Tamandua tetradactyla: one gene and its partners. The protein of the gene in region 2 interacts with the protein of the main gene of each other region in a pairwise test. Links are inferred from orthologs where the notes say so. Each region holds a gene or a part of one and is shown on either strand. Other genes may lie near its edges. The genes, in order: PNMA1, UBQLN1, NGLY1 and MIEF2.

Evidence for each region.
Region 1: the proteins of UBQLN1 (region 2) and PNMA1 interact in binary tests that used the Homo sapiens proteins (3 or more experiments, as listed by UniProt). The two-hybrid records come from large-scale screens. The link is inferred for Tamandua tetradactyla from reciprocal best matches to the Homo sapiens genes UBQLN1 and PNMA1.
Region 3: the proteins of UBQLN1 (region 2) and NGLY1 interact in binary tests that used the Homo sapiens proteins (3 or more experiments, as listed by UniProt). The two-hybrid records come from large-scale screens. The link is inferred for Tamandua tetradactyla from reciprocal best matches to the Homo sapiens genes UBQLN1 and NGLY1.
Region 4: the proteins of UBQLN1 (region 2) and MIEF2 interact in binary tests that used the Homo sapiens proteins (3 or more experiments, as listed by UniProt). The two-hybrid records come from large-scale screens. The link is inferred for Tamandua tetradactyla from reciprocal best matches to the Homo sapiens genes UBQLN1 and MIEF2.

What each region holds. Positions count from the first base shown.
Region 1 is NC_135338.1:32,581,892-32,589,656, forward strand, and holds PNMA1 (paraneoplastic antigen Ma1), read right to left. Parts: upstream 3,058-7,765; 5' UTR 2,268-3,057; coding exon 1,206-2,267; 3' UTR 401-1,205; downstream 1-400. Other genes in the region: MIDEAS (mitotic deacetylase-associated SANT domain protein), read right to left, coding at 7,239-7,428.
Region 2 is NC_135328.1:116,702,744-116,711,092, forward strand, and holds the start of UBQLN1 (ubiquilin-1), read left to right. Parts: upstream 1-5,232; 5' UTR 5,233-5,321; coding exon 5,322-5,501; exon of another isoform or gene 5,502-5,790; intron 5,791-8,349. Other genes in the region: uncharacterized protein LOC143673720, read right to left, coding at 4,471-4,526, 4,857-5,232. UniProt on the Homo sapiens protein: Plays an important role in the regulation of different protein degradation mechanisms and pathways including ubiquitin-proteasome system (UPS), autophagy and endoplasmic reticulum-associated protein degradation (ERAD) pathway.
Region 3 is NC_135341.1:62,310,029-62,317,220, forward strand, and holds the start of NGLY1 (peptide-N(4)-(N-acetyl-beta-glucosaminyl)asparagine amidase), read left to right. Parts: upstream 1-4,107; 5' UTR 4,108-4,162; coding exon 4,163-4,290; intron 4,291-4,938; exon of another isoform or gene 4,939-5,725; coding exon of another isoform or gene 5,726-5,778; intron 5,779-7,192. UniProt on the Homo sapiens protein: Specifically deglycosylates the denatured form of N-linked glycoproteins in the cytoplasm and assists their proteasome-mediated degradation. Cleaves the beta-aspartyl-glucosamine (GlcNAc) of the glycan and the amide side chain of Asn, converting Asn to Asp.
Region 4 is NC_135332.1:1,888,554-1,896,906, reverse strand, and holds the start of MIEF2 (mitochondrial dynamics protein MID49), read right to left. Parts: upstream 3,181-8,353; 5' UTR 2,911-3,180; coding exon 2,866-2,910; intron 2,333-2,865; exon of another isoform or gene 2,160-2,332; intron 587-2,159; coding exon 434-586; intron 306-433; coding exon 131-305; intron 1-130. Other genes in the region: FLII (protein flightless-1 homolog), read left to right, coding at 3,350-3,412, 4,906-5,016, 5,321-5,392, 6,417-6,497, 6,779-6,864, 6,948-7,109, 7,421-7,524, 7,812-7,987 and 1 more. UniProt on the Homo sapiens protein: Mitochondrial outer membrane protein involved in the regulation of mitochondrial organization.

The DNA of each region.
Region 1 (7,765 bases), on a different chromosome or scaffold from region 2:
AAGACATCCTTCAACCCAAATTTCCTTTTTAGGCTCTTGATATAAAATATCATTTTACACATGAATGTATACTGAGTCAGTTACTACTTCAGTGAAACAAAATTTTTGCTGAGAAGGGATTTAAAAAGGAAATAAAAACATTGCCAGATACCCTCCCTAAACCCCATCTCAAAATTAACCTAAAAATTTTTATTTTACTTATATCTATTTAACTTCCTAATATTTGCCTTAAAAACATGTAAAAATTGAATATATTAAAAGAAATTACAATTTTAACTCATAATGATAAAGCTTAAAAATAAATCAAGGTTTGATTTTGTTAAAAAGGAAAAAAATTGTAAGAAAAGGAGAGAGAGCTGAAATTACACTGAAGAATTTTATACATGACAAAATCAGACAATAAGTTTTAAATCTTTTTATTAGCATACATCTATTAAACAATTTCAAATTTTAGAACACTTAGAATCAGCAAGAATAAGGAGACCTACTATTTGATGACAAAGATGGAGAATGGGGGAATGGATTATTCTGCAGGTTATCAACTTCTCAGGCGATTTATATCTGTATCTTGTATCAAAATTCTTGATTTACACACCTCTACAGTTGCAGTATTTTTCAAACACCCCATTTTGTAGTCTCAGAATACTTTTCAATTAAACTGAGAGACATTTAAAGATGAGAAATATGAAATTGCACTTTATAGTTAAATAACAAATATCTAATAAATTCACATTTCTTTTCCATTAATATAAACTAGGAACAATATACAGTAAGCACAAACTATGCACGATATTAGTAACAATAAAAGTTCACATTTTTACTGAACACTTCCTTTCAGCTAAGCCTTGTGCTGTCTGAACATGCAATTTCTCATTTAACAACCTTGATGGGAAGCGCACAGGTTCACTTGTTTTTCACAACTGACAATGATGCCACGATGACAGCTCACACTGAGCACGTATTCAAGCCTTTACCTGGCATTTCAGCCAGCATGATGCACTTGCACTGTTGCAGCAGCTCACAGTGCTCGCTTGCAATTTTACAAATGTTACACTAATATGCAGGCCGGACTCCCCCTCCCCCCACCCCAAAAAGAACACAACAGAACACTTCTATGGATTTACTAATCAGAGAACACACCTATAACACAAACAATGGAGCAGACGTGATCTAGGTCTGCCCTAAAGCCCCCTTTTTCCAGGGACTTAGAAGTGCCCCTCCAGGCCTAACTGCAGGAGGGCTGCCTCAGCCTCCTCCTCCTCCTCCTTGGCCTCCTCCTCGCGGATCTGCACCAGCAACTGGAAGAGGTTAGGGGCCGGCCCTTCCGCAGCCCCAGTCAGCCATAGCTGCCTTCGGATAGCCCCGCTGTGGTTGGCCCCCGCAATGACTTGCTCCAGGCGGGCCTGGTTCACGTTATCTTTATCGATGGCCCCCTTGTCCACCACCTTCTGCAGCAGAGGCTCCAGACGAATGACATAAGCAGATAACTTTTCTCCAGGGTTCTGATAAGTGTTCAGAAATCTGACCTGCGCATCTCTAGAGCTCTCCACACTCCCAAACACCTGCTCAAGAGCCTTCAGACATTCGGCAGTGGTTATGGCGGGGTTGTTGGTCTTGAGGATGCGAATGACATCAGAGGCGGGGCCTCTAAGACTCTCAATCAACCGCCGCCTCTTTTCTACATCAGACACCTGCCACTCCTCCATGACCTCATTAGTGTGCTCTAACCAGGGATCAAAAGTCTCCTCCCCAGGCCCCGGAATATCTCTCCCCGAAAACAGGGTCAGCTTCTTGTACCAGATAGACTCAACAAGAGGCTGAATAACATTATCCAAAATATAATTTAGCATCTCTGCTGGCATTTCTGGGCCTGGGGCCGGAGCGGGGTTCTGAAATCCAAGGACCCGAGCAACATCTTGCACGGTCCACCCCTCTCTCGCTAGGAAAAGATGCAGCCTTTCCAAAAACTCAGCATCAGAAGTTGGGGGCTTAAAGACCACTTTCCAGACCCCGCCTTTACCCGGCATCTCCCGGGGGATAGCGGCGTAATCTACAGCACCAGTGAGCTCTAACAAGGCTGCTTTCGCATTCTCTTCCCTCCAGAACATTCTCCCAAGCACTCGATAGGGTACCTGGGGCATTGCTGCCTGGAGGGTCTCTTCGATTTCAGCCTCATCACAATTCACTGGGATTCCCCAGACCAGCAAGGCTCTCTGGGAGTTCACATCCATCCCCCTGCACCAGTCTTCCAACAATGTCATCGCCATTTTCCCAACTATCAAGTGGCGGCACCCTTACAAGTACGAATTCGATTGTGGCTTTGGCCTAGGGCTTAGCACAATACCAGACTCTCCCCCGAACAAACACGAGGGGGGCAAGCTTCCCGCAATTACAACTAACAAATGATACCAAAGTCCTGCCCTCGCCCTTCCCCTACCCCAAAGTACTACTCTCGTAAGTCCGTCCGGGCGTTCTCGGAGCGAGGCCTCGCGGACGCTCAGTCTAGTAAGTCACGCGGCCGGCGCCATCTTGCGTCTCCGGTCGGCTCCACGGCCGAGGTCCGTCGCCTGCAGACAGGGCGTTGACTCGCGACGAGGAAGGCGAGAAGAGAGGGCGGGTCGAGAAGGCTGGAGCCTCCGGGCCGAAGAGGCCGCCGGGGTGTGGTTGCGGGGCGTGGCCGCCTCTGCTCTCAGCCGCTCCGGGCGTCGATCAGGCGTTGGCGGACGGAGCTAGGCCTTCAGGGCGGCGGCCTGGAGAACTCTGCCGTCCACCGAGGGAGCTGTTCCAACGTTGCAGAGGCGACGGCGGCCAGACCAGGCGAGCCGGGAATGGTTTCTCCGCGGGCGCAGGGACCTTTCTAGGCAGCGACGATGACCGGGGACCGAGGCGGCAGACGGGCTAGAAGGACGGAGAGGCGAGGCTATGGCGGCTGAGACGACCGAGGGTAGGGGCAGCCGAGCGCGCCGGTCGCAGCGGGCTCTGGTGCAGCGTGGCGACCAGAGCGTCCTCCTCACAGCGAGCTCAGGAGCTTCTGCCGCAGTGGAGGGCGCCGCCCAAATCGCGAGGCGTCGAGCGCGCCCCGCCCCCACGACGGAGCAAGCGCGCGTGTAACCATGGCAACGGTGTCCCAGGCGACGGGAAATGCGCGCGCTCCCGTGGCGGGCTGAGTCGATTCGTTGCCATGGTGCCAGCGACAGGCTGTGGGCAATGGTTTTTTTGATGGCGCATTTCCTTTTTCACGTTTTCCGGTTTGTTTGTTTTTTTTACAGTGAACAAATATGCTAAGCACCGTGTTTAAAAATAAGGATCTAGAGTAGACTTAAAATATTGTTGAAAATGCACCCATCATTCAGGCCTGTGTATTGAGGTCGCTCATTCAGTTAGTCTATGCTGCATAATAAAATGTTCTCAACACCCCGGCCACCTGACCATACCCTGCATCCTGCATTTAATTCCAATGAAACCAGGAGGCATGTCATTTATGTTTTTGTGTGCGACACTGAGTTTAAATATTTTCTTACCTAAAACTTGGTAGTAGATACATTATTTCTACTCAGTCACCTTTGTAGCAAGGACACCATCAGTGTGAATTTTTTCTTGTCCTAGCGTCGACAATGAGCTGGTAAAACAGAATCCGTGTACAAAAATGTCCAGTGTCATCCCTTGTATGCAAAACAAGGCCTAATTATGTCAACCCCAGTTGGTGAAAAAAACAAAGCAAAAGAACACAGCATTCAACTCTGAATTTTTAAAACCTTATTTAATAAAAGGTTTAAAGATACAGAAGAACATTCAAAAGTAAATAAGTTACATAGGTACGTTACAATCACATCAGCAAGATTTTCTTTAGTGTATTAATTTTTTTTTTTATAAAAAGCACACAAAAAATAAAATTTTCAGTCTGGTCTATCACAACTGTACAGCAAAAGAGGTAATATTTATAATATATGTACACTAGTTTAATATGTAACAGTCTTTTTAAAAAAGGGTGCCACAGGCAGCAAACACACAAAAGGCAGTGTCTGATCTTTTTTTTTTCAAAATAAAAGGAATATAGTATTTATATGCTATTAAAATATTTGTACAATAATTACAGACTGTCAAGGCTGTTCCTGTGCTCTGTCCCCTCCAACAAGGCCTTCAACTTGAGAGACAATGAAGAAAAAGTGATAACAGCTGCAAATTGTTAGAGGCAAATAGTAACACAGCCAAATGTGGGGAGGATGCAGAATTGTTTTATAAAAATATGCATACTTCCTGTAAACCTAAGGAGTTAGGCTTGCCAGTCTGGTAATAAACGATCCAAGGAAAGTAGGCCCCAGTGAAAACACATTTAAACAGCTGAGGCTGGAGTATATGTGTATTCCTCCTTCATCTTAACATCTGGCACATAAGAAAGAGGTTACATCATTGAGGCAGTTAAACATAGGCCATCCCTTAAGACACAAGCAGCATGTGACCTCTGTGCTAGGGTGGACCTCACTTAGCACAGCGGGAGGTGGGGCGGCAGAAAGGGCTTGAGGGGGCTGCTGAAGGCATGGAGGACAGTGCTGACAGCACTGCTTCCTCGGGTAGGTAAGAGACCTCAGAAATGGTCTGGAATACAGGCACTAGGTCAGTGTCATGCCCTTAGCTGAGTGCAGGTGGAGGCTGGAAGATGGATATGGTGGGACAGTGTAGGAGGGCATTATGAAACTGGAGGTTTTGTCACAACTTCCTACAGCAAAGAGCTCTGAAGAGGAAAAAATGGAGGGGGTGGGTAATGAATTGACTGTGTTCACAGGGAGAAAGCACCATGAGAGATATACATACCAGCTTCTATGGCTGCATCAACTGTATTGGCGGGGCACTTGCCACAATTGCATCTGCCCTCTGAGCATTTTAATTTTCACACTGCATTCTAGATATAAATCCATCCTTAAGCATGGATCCTCCTAAAATATGGTATCTGGTAGATAGGCTGCTGGACAATTAATACTTTCCCCATCTACATTCGCCTGGTCTGGTCTTCGTGAGCTGAGAAGAAATCATTTTCTTGTTAAAAAAAGATGTCAAAGGACTGGATGCTACCACTGGTCAGCAGGGTCTCATGAAACTGAAGGTTGTTTCCTTTATACGCCCATGAAGAGGCCTGAAACTAAATACAGTTTAAACAAAAAAACAAACATGGGACACAGAAGTAGCACTTTGGAGCTAAGCTGAGAAGGCACTCATATTCCACAAGTGATTTAAAAGTTAGTCTAAATTTGCTACCCTCCTGCTTCTAGAAGGGTAACAGATTTTTGCAATCTTGGGCCATGTAGCTTATAGAAGTCTATGGAAGAAACTGACTAGGAAGCTGGAAATATATGGGGTCATCCAGGAGTCGGGGAGGGAGAAGAATTTTGTTACTCTTATAGCTGGGGTCCGGTAGAAGCACATGAATGAATAAATGAATATTGAAAAATACCTGATAGTGCATAGTTTAGAAACAAAACTCCCTCCCCACTCTCAGTTACTAACATGATGCTTTTAGGCGGCTATTTCAAAAGGAGTAGCAGAATGCATACTGTGGGGTTTCTTTCTAAAATGTATGACCTGTCATTTACTTGTATTCACTTAGAACTCCTACACAGTTCAAGCTGAATAACAAGAACAGAAAAATAACTCAGCTCTCCTATGGGACTGGCAACTGAAGAGGCCTCTAAAACCTTCCAGCCCTTTTGCCTCAGTGACTCCATGCCAAATATGGCTTCTTCAAGCCAGAATCTAGGCGTGATAAACAAAATTAGAATTCTGGCCTCCTGTCAATCCCCTCAGGCGATCTGAAAGTACAGCCAGGGAAGTAGCAGCAAATAAAAACTGCCTTTGATCTCCCAAATGCTCCTGCTAGCTCCCGACACCCTCCACCTTTTTTTTTACCATCTTTCAATGCTGCCATCATTCCTACCGGCAAGAGCTTCCAGAGCAACAAGGCGTGGACCTTAGGGTTTGGGACTGAGGGGGGAGGCAGGGGAGTGGTGCCAAGAAGGTGCCTTGTTTGGGGATAAATGCACTTGGGCCTCTGGAAAGCAGGCGGCCCCCTGGTCCCTGAGAGGATGTTAAAACTTAAATATCAAGAATAAATAAATAGCTCCTGAATGACACCAGTCAAGGAAATGAAGGCTCCTTTCCAATCTACTTAGGAGACCTCCCTCTCCCAGGGAAAGATCCAGAAATCTCCAGCGTGCAGGATTGGGAAGCTGAGCTGTGGGCATCAGCACTAGACAGTGCTGAGGGGAGTTGGGGGGTAACTGCTGAGGGCAGGACAAAGGCAGGTAGGGTACTTGCCGCACAGAGGCACCGGCTGGGTGGCTGGGGATGGCTCCAGGCCTCTGCAGGCCTTGCTCGAGGCTAAACTCCCATGGCAACCTCCAGGGCCAAGAAAGTATTTGGCAAAGAGGTGGGAAGCAGGAAGAGCCAGGTTTGTCAAAAGCTCTGCTTCCTTCCTTTCAGCAGGCTAAGCGTTCAGACAGGGACCCGGCCCCCTTCCCCAAACATTTGAGAAAACTTTCCAACCCCAACAGGGCTGCTAGCAAGCAACAATGGGATAGGTACCTGTCCTCCGACTCTCCCACGATGCATTCTGGAGGCCTCCCAGGAGAAGGTGGCCTTTCTGAGGACATAGTCACGGAGCAGCTTAAGGCCTGGACCACCACATTCCCGCCAACAGTGCCTTTTTTTCGGGATGGGGGCCAGGCCTCTGAGGTCCTCTGGAGAGGGGGAATAATGCTGCCATGGGGGTAAGCTTGGGGGTGAGTTTGTGCTTGGCTTGCCAAGGCGGCTTCCTGGAGACTGAGGGGAGGGAGGATGGGACAGCAAGGAAGAAGGGAAGAGACCGAGCGGCAGCAGAGGTCAGAGTGTGAGAGGTGGCAGCAGCGGCCGGCCGCAGAGGCTGGAGCCCCTTCGGAGGAGGCAGCCCAAGTGGGGACTCTCACGGTTCCACGAAAGCATGAGGACAACTTCCAACAGACTAAATGCAAAGAGAACTGGATGCTGCTGCCCATTAACACTGCTCCTTGGGGCCTTTATAAATAAAAGAGCCATTTATTTGACTGTCTGGTTTGTTTTTTTTTTTTCAGAGGAAAGTCTATGGTATTCTCTTCTCACTCCCTCCGGAGGTTCCAGGGTGTTTCCAGGCGCTTCCGTAGGCGGGTGCGGGGAGGGGCCGGGGGTGGGGGGCCCGGGCCGAGGCTCGCCCGGCCGCGCCCTCCCTGCCGTCAGCCCTTCTCGCCAGCGCCGCCGTCGTCCCGCAGGGCCTGCGGGTGTGGGGAGGCGGCGGCGGCTGCAGCTGCTGCTGCGGCGGCGGCGGCGGCCTCCTTCTCCCGCTGTCTCAGAGCTGCAGCCTTCTTCTCCTGCTCTGCGTGGCTCTTCATGTGGGCGCTGCGGCTCTTCACCTTGTAGAATACCCTGCAGCCGGGCACAGGCGGGAGTTCACATAAGTGGTCTGGTCCTCCCAGTCCCCGGGGACCACTGGGGAGGCGGGGGAGTGAGTGAGAGTGTGCGTGTGCGTGAGGGGGGCTCCAGCGGGGGCCTTAGAGAGTGTGAGTGTGAGTGTGTGTGTATGTGTGTGAGGAGGGCTCCAACGGAGGCCTTCCCGACGTGCCCCAGGCCACACAGCCCAGCTTCCCCCTCTCCCAGAACCGAGGGGGAAGGCTCCTGACTCAGCGCCATGCCTCTCTTCTAAAAGCTGCCAAACGATGTCACTGCCCCAGAAACCCAATAAGCCAATCAGAAGACAAGGTAG
Region 2 (8,349 bases):
GTTCTCACCCAGGGGCAACTTTGTTTTCATAGGACATTTGGCAATGTCTGGAGACATTTTTGATAGTAATGATGAGGGCTGAAGAGAGGTTATTACTGGTATCTAATGGGTAGAGGTTAGGGATGCTCTGAAATGTCTTACAATGCACAGGAAAGCCCTTTACCCCTGACAAAAAATTATCTGGCCCAAAATGTCAATAGCGTCAAGGGTGAGAAACCCTGCTATACAGGAAGGTAAAAAACAGTGAGAATGGTGATGGAGAAAAGTTTTGTATCTTCATTGTGGTGATGGTAACATAAATCTATATATGGGGTAAAAAAAAACTGCACAGAACTACACACATACACACACACACACACAAATCAAGGTAGGCTAAAAAATAAGGTAAAAACTGAATAAGGTCTATAGTCTAGATTCCATGTCAATTTCCTGGTTATGATATTGTTAATGGCTATTTAAGATGTCATTGTTGGGGAAAGCTGGTTGACGGGTACTTGGGATTCTGCACAATTTTTGCAACTTCCCATGAGTCTTTAATTATTTTAAACTGTGAAAAAACAAATACAGAGACTGGTCAAAATAAAAACCACAGGTGTGTTCCTCAGACAGACTGACCACATCTTCTTTCCTTATCCTTTGCTTCTGTATGCTATACAGTATCTGGTACACTACCAAAATACTATGGGGTCCTACTTAGCAGCTTCTACTCAAAGTTTGTAGTGGCTGTAAATGTATCTGCACATTCTACCCACCTCTACCTGTCCCCCAGGCCTAAGGCTCATAAACTTTTTGAACATTCAACCCCTTTCCTTTTGATTTTGAACTAGTCTAGAGACTGTAGACTGCTTATAACATGTGGACCATAGTTTGAAACAGCTGCCACTAAGAGAGTTTCTGTTTCTCATTGTGCATATTTCTCACGATGCTCTCCGTCTCAAAGCACCTAACAAAAAGTATTATCCATTCCTTAAGGCCTGGTCTGAGCAGTTTCTTTTAAAATCCTCTCCTGGCTCCTTGACTTTCTCCACCCCTCCAAACCCTCCAAGCAAGGGGTGAATAGTTCCTTCTTTTGAAGTTCTATGTAAAGCAAATATACCCCAAGATATGTATGTACACATGCACGTATGTCTTTATATGCTACTACACTTTCAACATTGGGAGAGACAAAAAGAGTATAAAATATACACCACAACTCTAAATGGGCTTCCTCTTTAGTGGAAAACATGGCCATTCAAAATTTTAGTTCAATAGTGCTCTCATGCCAAGGTATTAGGCTGGGCACTGTGGGGGTATTTATGATGATTAAGACATAATCCCTGTTTTCAAGCACCTTGTCTGAAAAAGAAGATATACACGTAAGTAAGAATAGTACAAGACAGAATGTGATAACATAAAAAAAGGTTGTATGGGATTATTGAGGAATTAGAGAATATTTCTTACCAAAAAAGGTATTAGGGAAAAACTGTTAGAGAAGGCCACATTTCAGTTGAGATTTGATGGATAGGCAAAACAATGGGGCCAAAATGAGGGAGGAAAATTTCTAATTGCAATGAAAATGGCAAGGCCTTGAGGAAGAAAGCACAAAAGATGCTTGGAGATCTTAGGTGACTGGCTTGGTTGAGGACAAAATATGAGGAGCAAGGTCTTCTGGTAACATACTATGCCACAAAGTTTAGACTTTATTCTAAACTTTGGCGAGTTACTGAAGATTTTCAAGGGTGGTGGTGGTGTGTCTTGATAAAAGTTTCTAGAACAATAATATATGGCCCCATTAGAAAATAGCTTTAAGGATTGGGACTTTAGACTGAGGCAGAAGAACGTGTATGTCAGGGTCGGCTCACACTGGCTTGTGAGAACTGATTATTAAAATTTCCAGAATTTTGTGAGCCAGCGGAGCTCAAGTTGGTAGACTGACATTGGCCATGTTGTATTTTCCATAAGGAAACTGGCAAACACTACAAATCAAGGCTTGTTTGTTTCTCAGAGTCAGTTACTAAACATTTTATAATAGACATTTAGTACTAGGACACCACTGCCTATCTTCCCACCCCTAAGGAGGTTACTGCTGTAGTCTAGGCAGAGTTAATGAGGGCCTCATCTAGGCTGGTAGCAGGAGAAGCAATTTAAGATAATAGAAGTAATGCTGCAAGTGATGAATTGCCAAGTGAACTGCAGGCTTAGGTTTTCAAAAAAGGTTTCAGAGAGGAGGTAGTAACAAAGGACAGGTGCAAGGTAGGGGTAGAGACTTGAAGGCATGATAAGAAGTGAAAAAATTATAATGTGCAAATACTTCTAGCAATGATGATAAGCACATTTGACTAGAACACAGTATCTCTGCAGAGTAAAGAGAGTGAAACTTGTAGGCGGAAATAAGATTGTGGAAGGCCTTGAATTCCAAGCTAAGGAGCTGGGACTATATTTGGCAGGCACTGGAGTGCTTACTAAGGATTTTGAATAGGGTAAACATGATGAATGCATATGACCTACACCACTTATTTGACATAGGTACTGCCTTGCGCTGAAATTATGTAAATTCCTAGATACAAGATGAGTGTATTAAAAGTTTCCCAGAAGTTATGCAAGAAATTCTTGTTGAGTGATTACATTTTGTCAAAGAATTCTTCTATCATGTGAAAAATAACATCCTATCAATATACTTGAAGTATGAATATTTGAATGGATTTTTTTTCACAATGGGACAGTGGTATGTCAGGGTCGGCTCACACTGGCTTGTGAGAACTGATTATTAAAATTTCCAGAATTTTGTGAGCCAGCGGAGCTCAAGTTGGTAGACTGACATTGGCCATGTTGTATTTTCCATAAGGAAATTGGCAAACACTACAAATCAAGGCTTGTTTGTTTCTCAGAGTCAGTTACTAAACATTTCATAATAGACATTTAGTACTAGTACACCACTGCCTATCTCCCCACCCATAATAATACTTAAGGGTAGAGACTGCTTCTTATTTGTCTTTGGATATTCAACAGTATTTGAGAGTTTGTACTCAATTCACATTTGTACAATGAATAAAATACGCTCTTACAATTTTTCTCCATATTGACTATTTAATAAACAAAACCCATTTAGAAGAAAATGCTTTAACTAGACATCTACACCAGGAGTCAGCACACTGTTTTTATAAGTAAAGTTTTACTGGAATACAGCCATGCTTATTCATTTACGGTTGCTTTTGTGCTACAACGGCAGAGTTCAGAACTTGAGAAAGAGATCATATGACCCACAAAGCCTAAGATATTTACTATTTGGCCCTTTACAGAAAGAGTTTACCGACACTTGATTATGATAGATAACTATATTGTATTTTCATACAGATAAAATATTACTTCATAAAATGTGCCATATGTCTTAGAATTTTAAGAAATAAATGTGTCAACAATTACGAAGCAATTTCTTAAGTGCAAGGTTAGAAATTTACACACGGTTATTCATTTGGGGCACCAAAAAGGACACCTAATATGTAAGTGGTAAGAGGTAAATTCTTCCTGGAGAATATGACATAGGATGATGAGCAGAAGTTACGAAGATGAAGAAAAGGGGAGTCATTCCAGGCAAAGGAGACAGTCCAGACAAAAGATACAGGCAAGATACAGCAGAGGCAGGAAAAACTAGGCAATGAGGAGCTAATAAAGTTGGGAAGATATTTTGTTTAAATATATGGAAGAAGTTCCAAATGATTCGCTGTCCAATGGTGGAACTTTCTACCTTGAGAAGTCGTGATTAACTCATACCTGGACATAGTTAAGTAGTCATGCGTCTCCTTCTCAGGTCTTGTGTAATTTCTGCACGTAACAACAATGCTGCCAGAAATTTAGCTTTTATCAGATAATGTCTGTACGGCAATTTGTACTTTCAGAACTTCTCTTATAACCAAATGGGCTCCACTATAAAACTATCCTTATGCAACAGTACTTATTCCCATAATAGGACTGCTGGCTCAAGAACAGAAATGCAGGATGTATTTTTTGCATATTTGGGTCACAGAGAGTTTACGATTGTGCAGTACTGATTACTAAAGTTTATGCACTGTATTGTATACTCGTAAATCATCTTTAAGGGTAAATGATGCCATCACTTCAAGTTTAGGGTTTTCAGGAACAAAATTTCCTATTATTTGTACCTAAATTACACTGAAAATTATTTTTGATCTACCATAAAAACCACCGAAAAGTATGAAATGTAACAACTTGCTAGAGAACTATAAAATGAATACCTCAGCTCCGTTAAACTGTCCCAGTTGAGTGGGCATTCCTTGGGCATTCTGTTTTGCCCCAAACATTTTGGGGAATAGTGTTTACGGAGAATTCAGTGCGCTCGTGTAGCACTGTCAGAGCGGGAGCAAAAGTCACTTTGTCAATAGAAGTGGTATGATCCTCTGACCATACCTGGCTGACGTCAAAGCAGGATGCTTTAGGCGTGGAGCCATGACTCCGCTGGATTGCGCAGGTTGCTTACAGGCGTTTACTCCGTTTTTCTTTCGTTATGACGGGGACCTTTCTACTCCCTCCTACAAGGCAATAAGATCACGGAGTTCAAGTCTTCCAGGTATAAAAAAATTTAGCAAATTAAAATAACTACAAATATCTCCTTGCGGGAAACCCGAAGCATATAATAAAAGGCAACATGCGGTGCGGTAAACCAAGGAAACATGAAGTAAGAGAGTGGGAACGCTCCCCGGACTGCCCTCACGCACGCGCACCCGCGGCCGCAACGCCACTGGTCAAGTTCCCTTTCTAGTAACTTCGCAGCCCGTGACGTCATTTTCGTGTGCCCTTACAGCGCCTTTCAGAGCCCGCGTTTTTATTTTTTTGTGAAAGTGAAAAAAAAATGAGCTGACCTAACACATACCACTTTGCTGTTAGTCTTCCACTCCTGACACGTTTATATTTGGGGCCATGGAATGTGAGAAAAAGAGAAAAGCACCTGGAAGTCGCAACAGCGACTGCCCAGAATGACTCGGCGCCGCCGCCAGCTGCGTTTCCCAATGTGCCCCGCGCGGCGTTGGCGTAGGAAGGAGGAGGGACGTAGGGGGAGGGGCGGGGAGGAGGAAGCGGCGGCGGCTGCCGATATCGCTGCGAACTAGCGGCGTCTGAACACACCACAGCTGCTGAGGTGCGTCCCGGGTCTGAGTCGGAGCTCACACAGAGCTCCGTGGTTCCTCGCCCGCTAGGGCGGCTCTGCGCCGGTTGCCTTTGAGGCGGTGGGTTCCGCATTATCCGCTGCTCGGGCCGGTCGGCTGCGGCGTCTCCTGGCTCCACATCGCTCGCCCGCTCCCTCCTTGCTCGCCTGAGTCACAGCCGCCATGGCCGAGAGTGGTGAAAGCGGCGGCCCTCCGGGCTCGCAGGACAACGCCGCTGCGGCGGAAGGCACCGGCACTCCCACGACCGCTGCTTCCCCGGAGCCTAAGATCATGAAAGTCACGGTGAAGACTCCGAAGGAAAAGGAGGAATTCGCCGTGCCCGAAAATAGCTCCGTCCAGCAGGTGAGGGCCGCCTGGGGCTCGGGCCGGAGCAGGAGTGGGGGTGGCGGCAGGACTTGTAGCCTCCGTCGGAGGAGACGGTTTTCGAGGGGCCTGAAGAGAGGGTCGTCCCAGGAAGTGCTCTCGGCCATTCTCCTTGGCTTCATCCCAAACGAGAGCACACCTATGTCCGCGGGTTTGCGCTTTGGGATGCCACAGAGGTTTGTGGCGGGGTCGCGCGGCCTGTTTGTGGGACGCGCGGACGCCGCTTCCCTCGGCGCTTTCCTCCTGCGTCCACAGACCCACAGCCTCCTCCCCTCTCGCTCCCCGCCCCCAGCCGCCTCCCCTCCAGCTCCTCACAAAGGGAAGGGACCCGCCGCCTGGCTTCGAGCGGGGTGGAGGCTGGGCGGAGGCGAGGGTTATAACTCCTGACTCTAGTTTTTTTTCTTGAATTAAAAAAGGGGTGGGGGGGCGCTGGGAGTGCTTTGTGGTTTTTGCTGCCTCCGGGCTTAAGGTAGGTTTGGGTCTGGGTAAGGAGCACGTGCATGTTTGGTTCTGAGATTTGGCTGCTGAAATCTTTCCCACCTTCCAATCTTTTTTTAAAATACTGGCTGTGACGTATAAATTGTTTCCAGCAGCATCTCAATAGTATTAGTCTTAAGGAAAAAAGTGAGTGACTTTCATTCATTGATGAGTTACTGTTTTCTTTTTAGTATATTTATCATGTCTTAGATGCTATTCTGGGATAAGTTTATTTGTTAGCGGCGTTACTCAGATTTTGGCAATTGCGTTGGATAAAAGAAAATAAAATTGAAGTTAATGGGAAATATTGCCAAATTTACTTCTTAAAGTCTGTACAAGAATACAGATTTTGCAGACATTTTAAGAATCGATGAAATTCAAATTGTTTTAGTTCATTGTCGGGTATATCCTCGATATTTTTCTTAATTGAATTCGTCTCTATCTCAGTGTGAACAGTTAATGAAGGAAAACAATTCTTGAGATTTGCCTATAAGCAGCTTCTGGGTGGAAAGTACAGGATTGCACTATTGGTTTATTTCGTTCCATAAAGTGTTGTGGTCTGTGAGGCAAAACAGTGTAGGTAGTAACATCAACTGAGAAACTTTTATCACTATCTGAACCACACTTTTTTTTTAAATCTCACAGTGCTCATATGGGAATTTTCAACAATTTGTACTTTCCAGCACACACAAAAGTTGAAAGAATCATATGTCTGACACCCATATGTCCATCTCTTACAATGAACGTTTTGCTATATTTGTTCTATCACATATCTAAATCATTTATTGGCCCATCTTATTTTTTGGATGCTTTTCCAAGTATGTTGCAAGTATCAGTACATATCCCCCGAAAAAGTACTTCAGCAATGTACATATGATTAACTTGAGTTCTGTATTTTTTACATGTATTTCTTTAACTAAATTTGACATGCAGTTAATCATAAAAGGGCGTTACATTCCATACATTTTGACAGGTGCATACACCTCTGTAATCCAGACTCCTATTAAGATGTAGAACATAATTATTGACCATGAAATTCCTTCCTCCTTTTTCCTGCTCTGTTCACTCTCCCCTTCCATCAACCACTGTTGAGATTTTTTTTCACCGTCGTTTAGTTTTACTTGTTTTAGAACTTGATATAAATATGATCATATGGTATGTACCCTTTGAGATTCATTTTTGTGTTATCAGTGGTTCCTTCTCATTGCTGTTGTTTTCCATTATATGACTATGCTGTAATTTATTTATCCATTTCTAAGTAGAAAAATTCATTTAGGTCAATTTATGATGTGTATGTAAGGATGTTTTTGCTTTTTTTTCGGGGGGGGGGGTGGGTCGGAGCATGGGCAGGCATCTGGACTCAGGGTCTCCGGCATGGCAGGTGAGAATTCTGCCACTGAGCCACGTTGCACTGCCCTGTTTTTAATTTTTGTAATGGTGGAGTTAGAATTCTAAATTCTATGAAGTTTTTTTTTTAACCTCCCTGTAACCAAAGCAAATTTTTAATAAAGTTAAAACCTTTCTAAAGTCACTTTTCTGATGGCAGTTAATTTTTTTTTTTTTTTTTTTACCAAGTGCTTTCTTTTGAAGCAGAAAAATGGTAAAAAGTGAAGTTCACCACTTTGATCCTTAAGAACTTGAAGATGGGTTGAAATAAGTAAGGACTCTTTTAAGGGAAGCATATATATAAGGAAATGTGCAGGTATAAGAAGAGCAGTTTTCAGATGCTCTATTTCTTTTTAAAAAGCTACTTGGAGCGTAAGAGAAGACCTGTAATTTGAAGGTTTTTTAAAAGCATTTTATAGATTTAAACTATTTGTCTAATTAAAAATTGTCATTTAAAAATACCTAAAGACATTAGGAGTCCATTAAAATGTTCAGTAGAAAATTGGGAAATATTTGGTTCTGAAAATTATTTTGTCTTGTCGGGGAGGTGGGTAAGCCAGAGTCTCTCAAAGCTTAATATCGATGTCTTTTGCTTTCTATTGGGCAAATCTTTTCTACAATTTAAAATCTTTCGGTACAGGTTTCTATGTAATGTAAATTTTTAAATATATCATACTAAGGTAATATAAAACTTAGGTAAATTGTAGGAAAGAAGTTGTAAGTTGATAACTTATTTCCTATTTTTCTCTTAGTTTATGTTTGTATAACCAACAAGTAGAAACAGGTTACCTTAATTGTATGTAGTGCCATGTACAGTTGGTATTTAATAAATGTTACTTGTTGAAAATTGATAATAAAGCTTATCGCTTTTTTCGGTATTAAAGTGAAATTTATTTTTCACTGAGCACTCAATCATTGAGTAACTTTTAAATTTCTCTGTAAAGGGACTTTTGAAATATGACTT
Region 3 (7,192 bases), on a different chromosome or scaffold from region 2:
CTTTAAAAGGGCTCCAACTATTATAGTCTCCTGTTTGGATTGTTAAGATTTACCTTAAATTCTTTGTAAATCTGATCTTAAACTATCTTTCTAGATATAGCTCCTATTCTCTATTAAATGAAGTTTCCACTGAACAAACTGGTTTTCTCACTGTCCCTTGGTTGACTCTTACTTTTCTTTGCTTATATATTTTTTTCTTCAACAACTTTTTTGTTTTCTCCTACCTACCATGTGCTAGAAGCTGAGATACAAAAATAAATAGGGTATGTTCTTGTTCTCAAGAAGTTCATAGTCTAGCAGAGGAGAAAGGGAAACCAATATGTACAAACTACTGAAACATTCTATAATAGAAGTCTTAATAAGATACAAAGGGGCAATGAAGTCATACTCCCTTGTAAAATCAGGAAAGACTTCAAAGAAGTGATTCCTAAGCTCTATCTTGAAAATGAGTAGTTGCTCATCTGGCAAATAGGATGAGAAAGTGCACTCGGGCAGGAGGGATAAGACAAAGGCCTGAAAGCATGAAGCATCATGCTGTCTTCAACAAACTGCTTGTAGTTCTTTATGCCCGATGTCTGATTTGAGGGTGAGACAAAGCAACAGAAAAGGCATGAGAGTAAAGCAGGGCCAGATCACAAAAAGCCTTGGATGTCATACTGAGGACTTTGCATTTCATCCTGTAAGCCAGAGATCATGTGCTAGCAGTGCTGGTCTAATTCTGGTCTCATTCAGAATGCAATATACTTTTATCGAATTTAAATTCATCTAGGAAGGGTACGGTCAATTCGCCCTTCACCACAGTGCCCATTACTTTGGTCTTGAAAAGGCTATTTCACATAATTAAGTTATTTGGGTAGCTCCTGTCACCATTTGAATTTAGAGTATGGGCAAGGAGTAGCCATGGAAACCTTTTACCAGGAGAATAGCATCCAAATGCTATGCACCCTCTAAATTTTATAGGTGAATATTTATTATGTTGTAGAAATGTGGAGGATGGATTGGAGGAATGAGAGTTCAGAAAATACTGTAATAGACTGAGCAAAAGATGATGAGGTCCTGAACTGAGACAATGGCAAGGAGGAAAGATGCAGCAGATATTGAGAAGGAAAAAGGTCTTCAGGGAGGAAGAATTTGAATAGTGTCCTTTGGAGGTTAAAGAGTTGAGAGTGGAAGGTCTTCCCAGCTGTGGGATAATCTGGCATGCCTAATCAGAAACAACAAGATTAAAACTCTCCTGTCACCTGTCTCAGACTTCTTTGAACACAGCAGGTATTCAATAAAAAAGTTGTTGGTTAATAACTTAACACAATCACGCAATAATGGATCACAACACCAATTCCTAGAAGGCTTCAATCCCTCTCCTTGCTGATGGTCTTTGTTAAGGTCAATATTTTTGTATGTCAAAAGTAATCCTGGGGAAAATTTATTGGGTTATTTTTTCTTCTTTTTTTTTTCTTTTTTGTCCATTACATTTAAGAATAGTGCCACCATGTGTCAACTTTAAAGATGATGTTTTTAATAACACTGGAATTGTGAGGAAAATTCATTTCTGTTGGAGCAAAAAATCAATGAAAGAACAGGAAGTTAAATGCTGATTTAATACTAAAACACTTTGTTTGAAGCAATGATAGGCATTAAAAATTTAAAAATAGCTTAATATCTTTAACTTTTCTAAAGGAAACTGAAAAATCAAAATATCTCCAACTTAAGCAGAAAGAAGCAGAGAGGTAAAAGAACAAGACAACATCCCTTATAAAAAATCCCCTCAATAGCTTCATAAATGGTGGCATCCAAGAGAGACTGTAGTGTACTGATAAATTTTAAGAGAAGGGTAGGTTAAGAGTTGTTTGGAAGAATTTAGACTTCAGGCGATTATCAAAAGATCAAACAGCAATTTACAGAATAACCCTTGAAATGCTAATTTTCTATGATTTTATGGACTGTACAAAATTATCTCAGTATTAATGCTATGACATTGTTTCTTCAACACTATGGTTGCATATTTCTCACGAAGGTACCCTATGGCCATTAACTCTGTCACAAAGGCTAAATTGACAGCCCTTCCTTCTCCTATTTCAATTCCAGAGCACCTCCACTTTGATGTTTTGCAAATATTGGGTTTTCTCATAATAGTCTGTTTGAAAATAAAAGTGTGCCATTGCTTGTAAAAATTGGTAACTCATTATATATTATAATCTTAAACGATTATTTTAAGAATATACAAATGTGTTAATGGAAAAAAAGGAACCCAAATTAAAGGGAATATAGTTTGTGGTGGAGAGAGCTAGCTATAACTCTCCCATCCCCCCTCTCGTTTATATAGAGTTGTGTCCAGCTAGGAACAACATTTCCTAGCCCCGTTTTATTTAGCTAGGGCCTGATTCTTGCCAATGAAATGGAAGAGAAAATGCTATAGACGGCTTTGGGGCCCCTGTGGTTAAGTGGATGTGCCTTCTCTTTGTCCAACCACAGGCTAACTCAGAAAATTCTGAGGCTCTATGGCAGAAGTTGGCAAGCTACGGTCTGCCGGCCAGATCAGGCAGGCCAGATCAGGCAGGCCATCTGTTTTTGTAAATAGAGTTTCACTGGAACACAATCATACCCCTTCATTTTAAAAATCATCTATGGGGCTACAATGCAAAGTTAAATTAGTTGTGCCACAGACCATACCTCCCACAATGCCTAAAACATTTACCACCTGTTTCCATACAGAAAATGTTGACCCTTGTTCTAAGGGATGGAAGGAGCCTGGGTCCCTCAGTAACTACATGGAGGAAAGCTACCCCTGACTAAATGATACCTGCCATTAAACTGTTAAGTGAGTAAGAATAACGCTTCTGTGTTAAGCAGACTGAAAATTTTAGTTACAGAGGCTAGCAACATCCTATGTGTTAAACACATCATTCCTGGAAGCTTGTCCAAAACCTTACCTATTTATGAAAAGAAACTTCTCACATATATCTGATAGCGGAATGGAAAAGGAAGTTAATGGCAGAGCTCAAGGTCTTGCTCAGAGATAATGGAAAAAAAGTTCAAATCTTAAAACCAAACCGAAGATAAAGCATTAAAAACACTCAAAGAGGAAACTTAGGCAAGTATCTTAGAAACATAAGGTCAGGAAAAAGTATTTGTGTAAGGAAGTATACTTCCAATGGCACCATGAGGCAGACACTGGATTGAAGAGGTGAAGTACCCATCTTCTAAGAGAAAAAATAAAGAGTAATGGTCATGTGATCTATCTGTAAATCAAAACTCACTAAATAATACTTATCGTTACTACTCGGTATACATATTTTTAAATCCCCGACCCCATTCTATTCTATACTTTTTTAGTTGGTTCTTATTGTGTATATGTGTGTGTGTGTGTGTGTACACGTGCGCATACGCTTTATTCTGGTCACCACACAAATTGTCCCCGCAAGCCTCTAACCTGCAGTTTGAAACATGTCCTTACAGAGGCATCATACTATTTGAGCTGGAATTTATGTAAAAATTTTTCATTTATTCCCGCCTAATTCTAAAAAGAAGCCAAATATCTGAAACCCAGCAGAGCCTAATGCCACGCGTTTGGTCTTGAATGTCTTTTTTTGTCTCTCCTTCCCTCCGGTACCTTTAACCCAGGTCTATCTTGGAGGCCAAACCTGATAATCTGCATGGAAAGGGCTGGGGTTTATTGAGGGAAAAGGGAACAGTGGGGTGGAGATTTAGAGGATCTCCCCTCCTTGTGACTAGATCATTTAGGCCCGCGCCACGGAGTGCTTCTGCGAAAGAGCTGCCAGCGTCGCTCGCGTCCCTCCCGACCAGCCCACCCCGCCTACACGCCGTGTCCGCAGCCCCTCCCAGTCGAGACCCCCACACTGACCTCCCGACCAGGACAAGCCTCCCCCCGCGTCCCTCCAATGTAGGCAAACAGTCCTTCCAGCCCGAGTCTTCCCAAGCGCCCCTCCCGATCAGGCACGTCTCCCCACCTCCTAGCCGAGCTCCCCCAACGCTCCCCACCAGGCCCGCCCCCGCCCCTCCGGGCCGAGCCTCCCGCCGACACCGGCCCCTCCCGACCAGACACGCCCCTCCGGGCCGGCTGCAGAGGCTGCCGCGTGCCCAGGCGCCTGCTCAGTGCGGGACGCGGCGCGCGAGGGGCGGCGACGGCCACGGGCGTTGAAGCATGGCGGCGGCGCTGGACAGTACCTCGGACTCCGTGTCCCCGGCGGTGGCAGAGCTCTGCCAGAACACCCGGGAGACATTTATGGAAGCCTCCAAGCTACTGCTCACCTACGCGGACAACATCCTCAGGTGCGGGGTGGGCGTGGGGCGCGGGGGCGGGCGGGGGCGGCGCCTCTTCGGCCCAGGTCCGGGGCTCCAGGCCGGGTTCTGGAGGGCGGCGAGGCCGGGGGAGGTCTGAGGGGGACCCTGGGGAATCGGCGCTGCGCGGGAGTCCGCTGGCCAGGAACCCAGAGACCCGACAGGCTCCACCCCCGCACAAGAAGAGGAAGTTTCTTTGCACTTGTGACTTGGCATTTAATGTCGGGGTGAGCTGGAGTGAACTGGAAGTCCCGGGGAAAGGGCAGGACGGCGAGGAGGTGGAAAGGCGCGCCTCGGACACCTGCCTCTAGCCTCATGGTTTTAACTGTCTTAAATGTCAGAACTGCGCTTTCGTTTCTACTATACGGATTTTACCGAACCAGACTGCTTAAATTTCCACATGCACATTAGAAGTTAGTCGCGGACAAAGTAAACTGTTCTTCCTAACGTTTTGTAACTATCCTAGAGCAAAGTACTGAAGTGGTGATTTCTGAAAGAAAACTTTATGGTTCCCCGTCCCCCCCCCCCCCCCCCCCGCCGCCCATTTTCTTGATTGAAATATTATTAACCACATTACTGTTAAGTTACAATTTTCTTATTGCCTGGATTCTACTTTTCAGCATGACCTCTTAAATAAGTAAAAATTAGTAATGGTAATCATCTTGCATAAGAGTCATTTATTTCATTCTTCTGTGGGTAAAACAGAACATGTCTAAAGCAGTAAGGGACCTTAGAGACTTTGGAAATTGGGAGGCAAGTTTCAGTGTTCATTTTAAGTCACTACCTACTACAACTCTTCAGATCAAGTGATAAGGGAGTTGATAGATGGAGGAAGGAAAGGGAACAAAGTTAAATGAGTTCATTGTGCCGGTGATTTAGCCATGTTACCTAATTTTATCAGGTCATCTTGATCATCTAAGTTCATTGTCCCCCTCATCTCCTTGTGCATTTGCTTTTCTAAGTGAACTGTATATTAGTATGGAGTCTAAAAAGGAATTCCTCTCAGCAGGGTTATGGATTTCACCTGACCCGAATTTATAGACATTGTTTATAAGGGCAGTGTTTTAACCCATGGCAGTAATACTGTTCATTTAGATAACATTAATGACTTTGAAGGTAAATTGAAGGGAGAATATATTGAGCTGTTATTTTGTGCCAGATGTTATGAGGGATGCATCATGTGCACTCTTCATAGCTACAGAATTGTGACATGTTTGGGGAGTTCTTTCCTCCTCTGTGACATCTTCTCAATTCACCTTTCTACCCTTAGAGGCCTTAAAGCCCTTCAGAGCACAGGATACCTGTGGGACGCTGCAAGAGTGTAATCAGAGGCTGGGCTCTCCAGAGCCAGTTAGCTGGGGCCTCCCACCTGGAAAGCCATCAAGCAATTAAACCCCACTATTCAGAAAAGGGACTTGACCTCCTAATGAGGACTCACTTCTACTTTCATGCCGCTGAAACTAAAAATGCTGAGATAAGGTGTGTTAAGGGAGGAAACCCTTTGCATGCAAATAATGACTTTTGGCATCATAATCATTATTATGAATGTTTACCAAACTCCTGAAAGAAACCTGGCATTCGGTCAGTTCATACAATGGTCTTTACTATGGTTTATGTTTCTGATCTGGAAAAAGATTTGATGAAAAAAGAAATTAGAAATCTGGGACTCATAATCGGAGATGTTATAAAAGACTGTCTTTTAGTTTGGTCTTAAATAATAGTGCCCCTGCTCTCATATTAGCATTTAAACTCCTTAGGCCTCACTGAGGGTGGGGATGAGGATGGGGGATATTCTGTAACAGGGTGTGCCAGATTGAAAGCATTATGTATCCTAAAAAAACCCACATTTTAATCCTGATCCATCTCGTGGAGGCAGCCGTTTCTTTTAATCCCTATTCAGCACTGTAGGTTGGAACATGATTAGATTATCCAATTGTAGGCATTAACCCTTGATTAGAGGGAGATGTGACTCCATCCATTCCAGGTAGGTCTTGATTAGTTTAATGGAATCCTTTGAAAGAGGAAACGTTTTGGTAGAAGCTGCAGAGCCTCAAGAACCATGAGAGCCCATGCAGCCAGAGACCACTAGAGATGAAGAAGGAATATGCCCCTGGGGGAGCATCATGAAACAAGAAGCCTGGAGAGAAAGCTAGCGGATGTAACCATGTTTGCCATATGCCTTTCCAGTTGAGAGAGAAACCCTGAACTTCATTGGCCTCTCTTGAGTGAAGGTAACCTCTTGTTGGTGCCTTAATTTGGACATTTTTATAGATTTGTTTTAATTTACACATTTTCGTGGCCTTAGAACTGTAAACTTGCAACTTAATAAATTCCCTCTTTTAAAAGCCATTCTGTTTCTGGTATATCACATTCTGGCAGCTTTCAAACTAGAACACAGGGTTTTACTGTATTTTGGTGGATTCCTTTGATAATTTGCTCCATTTGTTCTTTTAAAATATGTTTAATTTTTCCACTAATTTCTTAACACAATTATTGATTACCAACTGCACTAAGTGTAATGGGGAAGAATCAAGAATAGAATGTGTTTTTTTTCTTCAAAGAGCATAAATCCATTTGAGAGAAAGATATAGGTATGGAAAACAACCAGAGCATATAATCTAAAGAACAATTTCAAGTCAGTGTTTAAATACTTACCTATTTATGTGAGGAATTAGCAGGAGGACCGTTTGATAAAGTGGATCTGATTGAGTAGCAGAAAGCATGTATTTGACACAGTAGACAAGAGAGAGCAATTGTAGTTTCTGGAGTCAAAGAGAAGCATAATGAAAGAATTTCATGTAGAATAATAATATGACACAAGATATGGATTCCATTTGTGATGCAATTGTAATAATCATAAGCGTAAATCTGAATGGAATGGAGAAAAAAAGTT
Region 4 (8,353 bases), on a different chromosome or scaffold from region 2:
CGGGGAGAGCACCACCCACCCCGAGTGCCTGGAACCTGCCCGGGTCACACCACCAGCAGCAGAGCCTGGACTGACTCCAGGAGAACCCCAAAGGGAACCCCTGCATCCTGGGAGAAGGGCTGTGGCTCACCTGCAGCAGCAGGGGCTGGGGACAGGAGGGGCCGGCTGAGGGGGACAGGAGGCAGCTGGGGGTGCAGGCGCGGCGTGGCCCTGAGCAGGTTCAGCTCCTTCCAGCTATCCTCCAGGCAAGTGGGTTCCAACTTGGCGTCATCCTCATCCCGTGGGCTGGTGGCCCTGTCAATGAGCTGGAGGCAGAGACACAGGTCGGGTCGCCGGGGTCCAGGCACAGCTCCAGGTGGGACACACCGAGCTACTGGGGGACTGAAATGCACCCCACCGGCCCCCTGCTGGGACCTACCCAGTACAGCCTTACCCGCTTTACAGCCAGGGTGGCGATGCCCAGTACTGCAGCCCCACCCATGCCCAGCACCAGGCGGGCATTGGCCAGGAGGAAGTCCACAGCAGTGCCGAAGATGTCACCGTCGGGCCGCTTCCCCCGCTTCTGGGAGAATTCAGCCATGGTCTGCTGGGAGAGAACCAGGTGTGCGTGTGTGCATGCACATGTGTGTGCACATCTGTGTATGTGTGCATGCGTGCATGTGGGCAGCCCCAGTGGAGAAGCTAGGACTGCCAGGGGGTGGCCCAGGGCAGGCAGGGATGGGCAGAGGGCTCCTGCAGCCATCCTGCTGGGGCACTTAGTCAAGCCCATGACAGCTTCCCAGGAGAAAAGGGCTACGTGTATGGTTTCTTGGGAGATCAGGGTGCTGCCCAAGGCCCTGCTCCCCCAAACCTGCACACCACTGCCTGCAGGAAAAGGGGGATTCATGCAGACTGGCTCCTCCCCAGAGGAGTGAGTCGGAGTCACCACCAGCTTTTCCCTGATCACACAGTGAGCAGTGGGGGCACAAACCCGCAAACATACAGCGTGTGGCACCCCAGTGTTTCCTGCTGGCCCCTGAGTCTACTTGGTCCTCTCTGACCCACGAGCCCAGCTCAGAGCCTGCCGCAGCCCTAGAGCTCTGGTTTCCAACCAGGGCTGGGTAGACTCCCAGTGTAGACAGGTGGGGAGGAGTTAAGGGGACCTCAGCAAGACTCAGGGGCCACACTCCCAGCCCTGAATGCTGACAGGGCACCCCCAGGACAGGCAGAGGGGGCCGGCCTTGGCTCCAGGCAGCAGAGGGCACGCGCAAGTCCTGCTACGTGCAGGGGCAGTGAGCAAGGAAGCTTTTTAGAGCTCAGACGTGAGACTGCCCAGTGGCTTGGGGACAGAGGGACAGCTGTCATCAGCTGCTAGGAGGCCACGCACCCCAGAAGTTAAGGTCAGGGTCAGCAGCGCCACCCACTTCCTCCCCTGCAAAACAGCCAAAGGTGGTGGACAGAAAGGATCAGAAGGAGGGAGTCCGCAGGTGTCTTCTGGGCAGGCTCAGGCAGGTGAGAAGAGGCAGGGCCCTGACCCAGCCCCACATTCTAAGGGAGACCCGGCCTCAGGCTCTGCCCACCAAGCCCACCTGCTGAGGGAGAGGGGCGGCTACAGGGCCAGCGTGGGGCCCCGGGCCTGCAGGAGGGACAAACACACACCAGGCAGGACTGTCCAGTCCGGGAGGCCGAAGCCCGCGTCATGAAGTCACGGCCGGCTGGGGCCCTGGGGACGCAGCCCTCCCGGCCTGCCAGGTGCCCGCCGAAGCCCGGGCCAGGGAGTGACTCATTCCCAAGCACCTACCCACCCGCCCAGGCTAAAAATAGAACAAGAGGTCTCAGGGGCCGCGCGAGGACACCGGCCAGCCGGCTGACCAGTCCGCCGGGCGGCCGGTTTGTCCACCGGGGGTTCACCCGCCTCCACTTCGCGAACTGTACACCGATTTGAACACCTCCCTCCTGGCTACGCAGGCGCCCGCCCAGCGCCGGCGGCCGAGCAGGCCCCGGCCCCGGCCCGGGCCCCAGCCCCAGGAGCCGGCGCGGGGGGCAGGCGTGACCCCTCCCTCCTCCGCCCGGCCCGCCCCCACGCGAGGAACCCGCGTCCCGGAGACCGAGGGGCTTGCCCAACACGGGATTCGAGCGCGGGCGGCGGGCCCCGAGGCGCTGCCCCCGCCCCGCCGTACCCAGGTCGCGGCCCCGCGAACGGGCCCCAGCGCGAAGCGGGCCCCGCCCGGCCCACCTGGGAATGGAACGCGGCAGAGCCGGGAGGCGCGCGCCGGGGCCGGGGTCGGAGGAGGCGGGCGGTGACCCCCAGAGGCACGCAGACGAGGAAGCCGAGCTCCAACGAGAGCGCACAGCGCCCCGCCCACGTGCCAAAATACTGCGCAGCTCAGCCAATGGGCACCTGGCCACGCCCCCCGCCCGGCGCGACTTCCTCTCGACTTAAAGGCCGAGGACTCCATTTCGAGCCCGCGGCGGGCTGGGAAGTGGAGGCTGGGAGGCCTGTCCCGGCGCGTGGAATGAGCGGCCCCCAGGGCCCGTTGTGACTTGGGTGCCCTGGGATAGTGAGCCTGGGGGTGAAGAAAGCTCTCTGGGCCCACGTTTCTCCCGGGACCACTTGCCGGGCGCCCTGAGGTCACCTGCCAGAAACCTGAGGGCATTTCAGGATTACCTGCTGGCCCACCTGGTGACCTGGGGTGAGGGGGTGTGTCCATGCTCCACAGGCCTCAGTTTTCCCTTCTGTAAAGCAGGGCCCCGCACGGCGTGGCTGAAAACAGCAGCAGCTGGGAAATGCCCGGCCTGCTCTGGGGTCGCTGGACTGCGCCCGGACCCCGCCCCTGTGGGAGCTGCATTCGGGGGGCCACGAGGCGGGAGATCGCGGGAACACACCTGGGGGAGCTCATGCCCAGCAGGGATAGCAAACACGTGCACCATTGGGCGCCTGCTGTATGCTGGGAGTTCCACGTGGAGGTGGGGGTGCGTCTGGCCTTAGGAAGCGTTTCACAGATGCGGCCGCAGGTATAGGGTGGCCCGGGCCAAGCCCTGGGGCAGGCAGGGGCGCCTCGGGAACGGGCCCCCGAACCCCTCAAACCCAGTCGGACGACTGCAGCAACATCCCCGGGTCCCGCCGCGGGGTTCTCGGAGCCGACGCTGAACCCTGCCGCCGTCAGAGGAGCCGAAGCCAAGGCCCTCCCCGCCCCGAGACCCGGCGATCCCCGCGGGCAGGCGCGTTCCCGCGGCAGGGCGGTCCGGGGCGCGGGTGCGGCGGGCGCGGGCGGGTTAAAGGGGCGGAGCCGGCGGCGGAGGCCCAGCCCGCGGCCGCCTCCCGGATCCGCCCTGCGCGCCCTGCCCGGCCGCCGGCGACAGCGGCGCCATGGAGGCCACCGGGGTGCTGCCGTTCGTGCGCGGCGTGGACCTCAGCGGCAACGACTTCAAGGTGAGCCGGCCGGGCCTGCTCGCGGGCGCTGCGCCTCCTCCGCCGCGGGCCCAGCCGCCCCCCGCTCCTCGGCCGCCCGCGGGGCCCTGCGCGCGGCCGCGATCGCCGGCCGGGCCGGGGTGTGGCCCTCCGGGCGCTCCGGGACCGTCCCCGCGCCCTGCCCCGAGCCGGAGTCCGCGGCCCCGAGGCCCGGCGCGCTGCCCGGGCGGGAGGACGGCTCTCAGGCCGGGCTGCGAGAAGAGGGGCCTCTCGGCGGGGGCGACCCTGGGCCGGCCGGCGGGCCCCTGTTCACGCCGCCCCAGCCCCAGTCGTGCCCCTCGGAGGCCGCACCGCCCAGCCAGGCCCTGACTCACGCCCGCGCTGCCCCGCCCCGCCGCCACCCCTGGCCACATCCTGTGCGGTGTTGGGCCAGACACTTCCTCCTCGGAGACCCGGGCTTGCTCTCCGGGAGGAGGGTCTCCCTGCAGCCCTTCCTGGGAGTGTCCGGAGGGCGTGATAAGTTGCTTGGAGGGTGTGCAGGCCGGTGTGAGCCCCGGTGGTGTGGGTCTGCCTCTCTTACCGGCCCCCTCCCCACCCCTGCCCCCTACCTGGCGCTGCCCAGTTGGAGGGCAAGAGGAGGTTGTCCTGGAGAGAATCGGGAATGGGGTGGGCTGGGCTGTGACTCCAGAGAAGGGCCGCAGCTGAGAGCTGGCCTGGTGGGGGGATGTGTGGCTGCAGTGTGCGGGGCAGGTATGGGCCTGGGGCTGTTAGGTGGGGGTCTGAGGGCCCCCCACCCCTCCCCCGCTCTGCCTGGGGTTGGGCGTCAGCCTGGGGCTCGCTCCTCCTGCATCTCCCAGCAAACCACCACACCTTTGACTCCCATGCCCAGGCGTGGGCTGACTGCATGTCACCCTGTCCCCCATCCCCACGGGGTCTCCAGGTGTCCTCTCTGCACTAGGAGAGGCTGCATTACAGACTGGGAAGATGGCCATAGGGGAAAGGGGACACCAGCCAGGGGCACGGAGAGCACTCTTTGTCCCAGACCTCCTCCCCCAAGCAGGGAGGGGCTGTCACTGCAGACCCGAACCCCCCAGCCCCCATCTGCCCATGTGCACCTGGGGCATTCGAATACTGGGAGTCCATGGGGGTGGCAAGCCGAGGCCTCAGCACAGTGGGGTCAGGACCTGGTGGGGGTGTGAGGGGGTGGGCTGTGCTGCGAGACAAAGTGCAAATCTGGAACGTACCTCAGCCAGGTACTGTCCTGTCCGGGTCCTCCCCGGGCTCAGAGTCCAGTGGGACAAATAGATCTCAGGCCACCAACCACACCTACAGTTAGTCCATCCTCACAACACTTGTCATGTGAGGGCTTTTATTAGCCCCATGTCATGGGTAAGGAAATTGATGAAGTGACTCGTCCAGGGTCACCCAGATGGGTGGGTGGTGGAGTGGGGGTACCGGGAGGGGGTGCCTCCCTTCTCCAGACATGCCTACCATGGCACTCCGTGGCTACACAGGGTGGCTACTTCCCTGAGAATGTCAAGTCCATGACCAGCTTGCGATGGCTGAAGCTGAACCGCACGGGTCTCTGCTACCTCCCAGAGGAGCTGGCCGCTCTGCAGAAGCTGGTAAGGGGCTTCAGGCGGGGAGCAGGAGGGTGTCCCTGTGAATGAGCCTGGGCTGGGTGGAAAGGGTGGCCAGCACAGGAGGAACACTCTGACAGTCGTGGTCAGAGGTGGCTGAGAGGGAGTAAGCACCCTGTCATGGGAGGTGTGCAAGAAGAGGTCAGGCCTGTGAGTGAGGAGAAGGCAGAGATAGACTGGGCCTGCGTGGCCGAGGCCCCTCCCCCCATGGGGTACAAGGCTGCAGTGGTGGGCAGGACATGTGTGGACCCCATCCAGCCTGCTGAGCCCGTCTCCCTTCCTGCCCCAGGAGCACTTGTCTGTGAGCCACAACAACCTGACCACACTTCATGGAGAGCTGTCCAGCCTGCCATCACTTCGGGTGAGTGCTGGGGGGAGGGGGAGGCCTCCAGGCACAGGGGTGAGGTATTGACGAGCATGGAGGGGTGCCAGACATGGGAGGGGCCTAGGGGCAGGCGCTGGTATCCTGCCCGGAGAGGAAGGGCAAGGCCAGATCCCCGGCCGGGCCAGCATTTCTGTCTACCCCCATATGAGAATCAGGGGCCGAGGCATAAAGAAGGGAAGACATAATAATGCTTGTGTAAGGTGAGGCGTGTGAGTTGGAGAAGGCCAGAGTGGAAAAGAAGAAAAGAAGTCCTGATTACCCACTTTGGGTTGTAACAACGCAGTAGTAGTAAATCATTTAACCCTGGTTTCCACCTATTTTGGGAGGGGAGAAACTTAAGCTCAGAGGTCAGGTCACACCTGGCAGTGGTGGGGCTGGTAGGGTGAGCTTAGTTGGGGTGGGAGGGTCAGAGGGGAGCCCCTGGACAACGAGGATCAGGTCCACAGCCAGTGACCTGAGAGGTTTAGGGCACAGCCTCTGGGCCAAGGCTGCCCAAGTTCAAATGTGAACTCTGCCATTTTCCGGCTGCATGACCTTAGACAAGTCACTTCAGCTTCCTGGGCCCCAAGTGCAAGTAGGGTGGAATGGCACTGAGTAAGCCTTAGTGGCTATTATCATTCTTACCACTGCTTCTTACAATCATGGGACAACCTCCTCCACCCCCACGAACTTCCTGTAGGTCTGCGGTATGTGGAAGTTCCACCCAGGGGGTCAGAAAGCAGACTGCAGCTCTGCTGTCTTCCTCTCAGTCCACACACTGATTTCTCTTTGGTCGCTCCATTCTAGAAACCTTGACTCAGATCTAGAAAAGGTTCCCTGAGGGCCCTGTGCTGGGCTGTGAGGTACATTTGAGCTGGGCTTTGAGGTATGAGTAAGAGCCTGCCAGGCGGAAGAGGTCCAGAGGTGTGACAGCACTCAGGCAGCCTTCCTGAAGGAAGTGTCCCTCTCCAGCCTTGGGGGTGGAGGCTGAGACTCACAGGCCCTCACGGTTCTTCCCCAGGCCATCGTGGCTCGAGCCAACAGCCTGAAGAATTCCGGAGTCCCTGATGACATCTTCAAACTGGATGACCTCTCAGTCCTGGTCAGTGGTTGTCCACCCACCTGGTGGGTCACCCCAACCACGCAGTCCCCACCCACCCCATAGCTGTGGTCTCTGGGGCCATTTTTATCCCACTTTCACGTGGGGAAACTGAGGCTCAGAGTGGCCATACCCTTCCTCTCAGGGCTGCCTCCCTTTGGCCCTGGAATCCCCTTGTTTGCTTCTCCCCTGGATGCCTCCTCCCTGGTGCCGGAGCCGGCACAGGTCTGGCAGGTGGGGCCAGCCCCTGATGCCCTGACCAGGGCCTGCTCCCTCCCACCCAGGACTTGAGCTACAACCAGCTGACCGAGTGCCCGCGAGAGCTGGAGAATGCCAAAAACATGCTGGTGCTGAACCTCAGCCACAACAGGTGCCGGTCCACCTGGGGGTCCCGGGCAGGAGCGTGGGCCCCACCTGCCAGGCGCCCGCTCAGGCCGTCCCTCCCGCCCACAGCATCGACACCATCCCCAACCAGCTCTTCATCAACCTCACCGACCTGCTGTATCTGGACCTCAGCGAGAACCGCCTGGAGAGCTTGCCCCCCCAGATGCGCCGCCTAGGGCACCTGCAGACGCTGCTGCTCAGTGGGAACCCACTGCTGCACGCCCAGCTCAGGTCCACCCCGCCCCGCCCCACCCTGCCCCTCCACCGCGAGGCGGGGCCCCGCCTCTGCCCTGCCCCATGAGGACCCGCCCCACCCCGTGAGGCCCCACCCCCACAGCCTTTCCTTCTGAGGAGTCCTGGCCTGGGGCCTGCTATACCCTCAGGCCTCTAAATGTCATCAGTTCTGCCTGCAGCCACCTTTGGCCTTGTCCCCCTGGGCAAATACAGCCCCCCATCTGCCCTCCCAGCGAAGGCACCACCCCCTGCTCCCGGGGCCTGGCCCTGCCCCCACCACGTGCCCAGCCTGCCCTGTGTCCCTGCAGGCAGCTCCCTGCCATGACGGCCTTGCAGACCCTGCACCTGCGCAACACCCAGCGGACCCAGAGCAACCTGCCCACCAGCCTGGAGGGCCTGAGCAGCCTGGCAGGTCAGGGGGTCCCCCTCTAACTTGATGGGGTGTCGATTGCCCCCTTCCCTGACCCCTTCGTGAGGGAGGAGAAGGGCTACATGAGTATTCTGTTGTGGTTGTGATGCAGCAAGTACTGCTAGGTTATGAGCACCTGCTCTACACCTAGAACTTGTGCTACTCTCCATGGAGAGAAACGGGCTCAGAGAGGTTAATTCACTTGCCTAGGGCTGCACAGCCTGTGGATGGTGGAACTGGGGTTCAAGGCCCTGAGGGCGCTTGCTGACTCCCACTGCCTGTGTCCCCAGATGTAGACCTGTCCTGCAATGACCTGACGCGGGTGCCCGAGTGCCTGTACACCCTCCCCAGCCTGCGCCGCCTCAACCTCAGCAGCAACCAGATCACAGAGCTGTCCCTGTGCATCGACCAGTGGGTGCATGTGGAGACCTTGAACCTGTCCCGCAACCAGCTCACCTCACTGCCTGTGCGTGCACGGGCTCCCTGGCCACGTGGGGGGGGGGGGGGGCGCGCTGCTGTGCCCAGCCTGACTAGCCCCTGCCTGCCTATCCCCCCCCCCAACCAGTCGGCCATCTGCAAGCTGACCAAGCTGAAGCGCCTCTACCTGAACTCCAACAAGCTGGACTTCGACGGGCTGCCCTCAGGCATCGGCAAGCTGGCCAGCCTGGAGGAGTTCATGGCGGCCGACAACAGCCTCGAGCTTATCCCGGAGAGCCTATGCAGGTGTGTGGGGGGGGGGGGGGCATGGCACAGCAGGCCCCGGCAGGGTGGCCAGACCCCACCCTGAGGTCTCCATGCCTTGTGCGAAGTGGGAACATGTTGATTTGGCTTC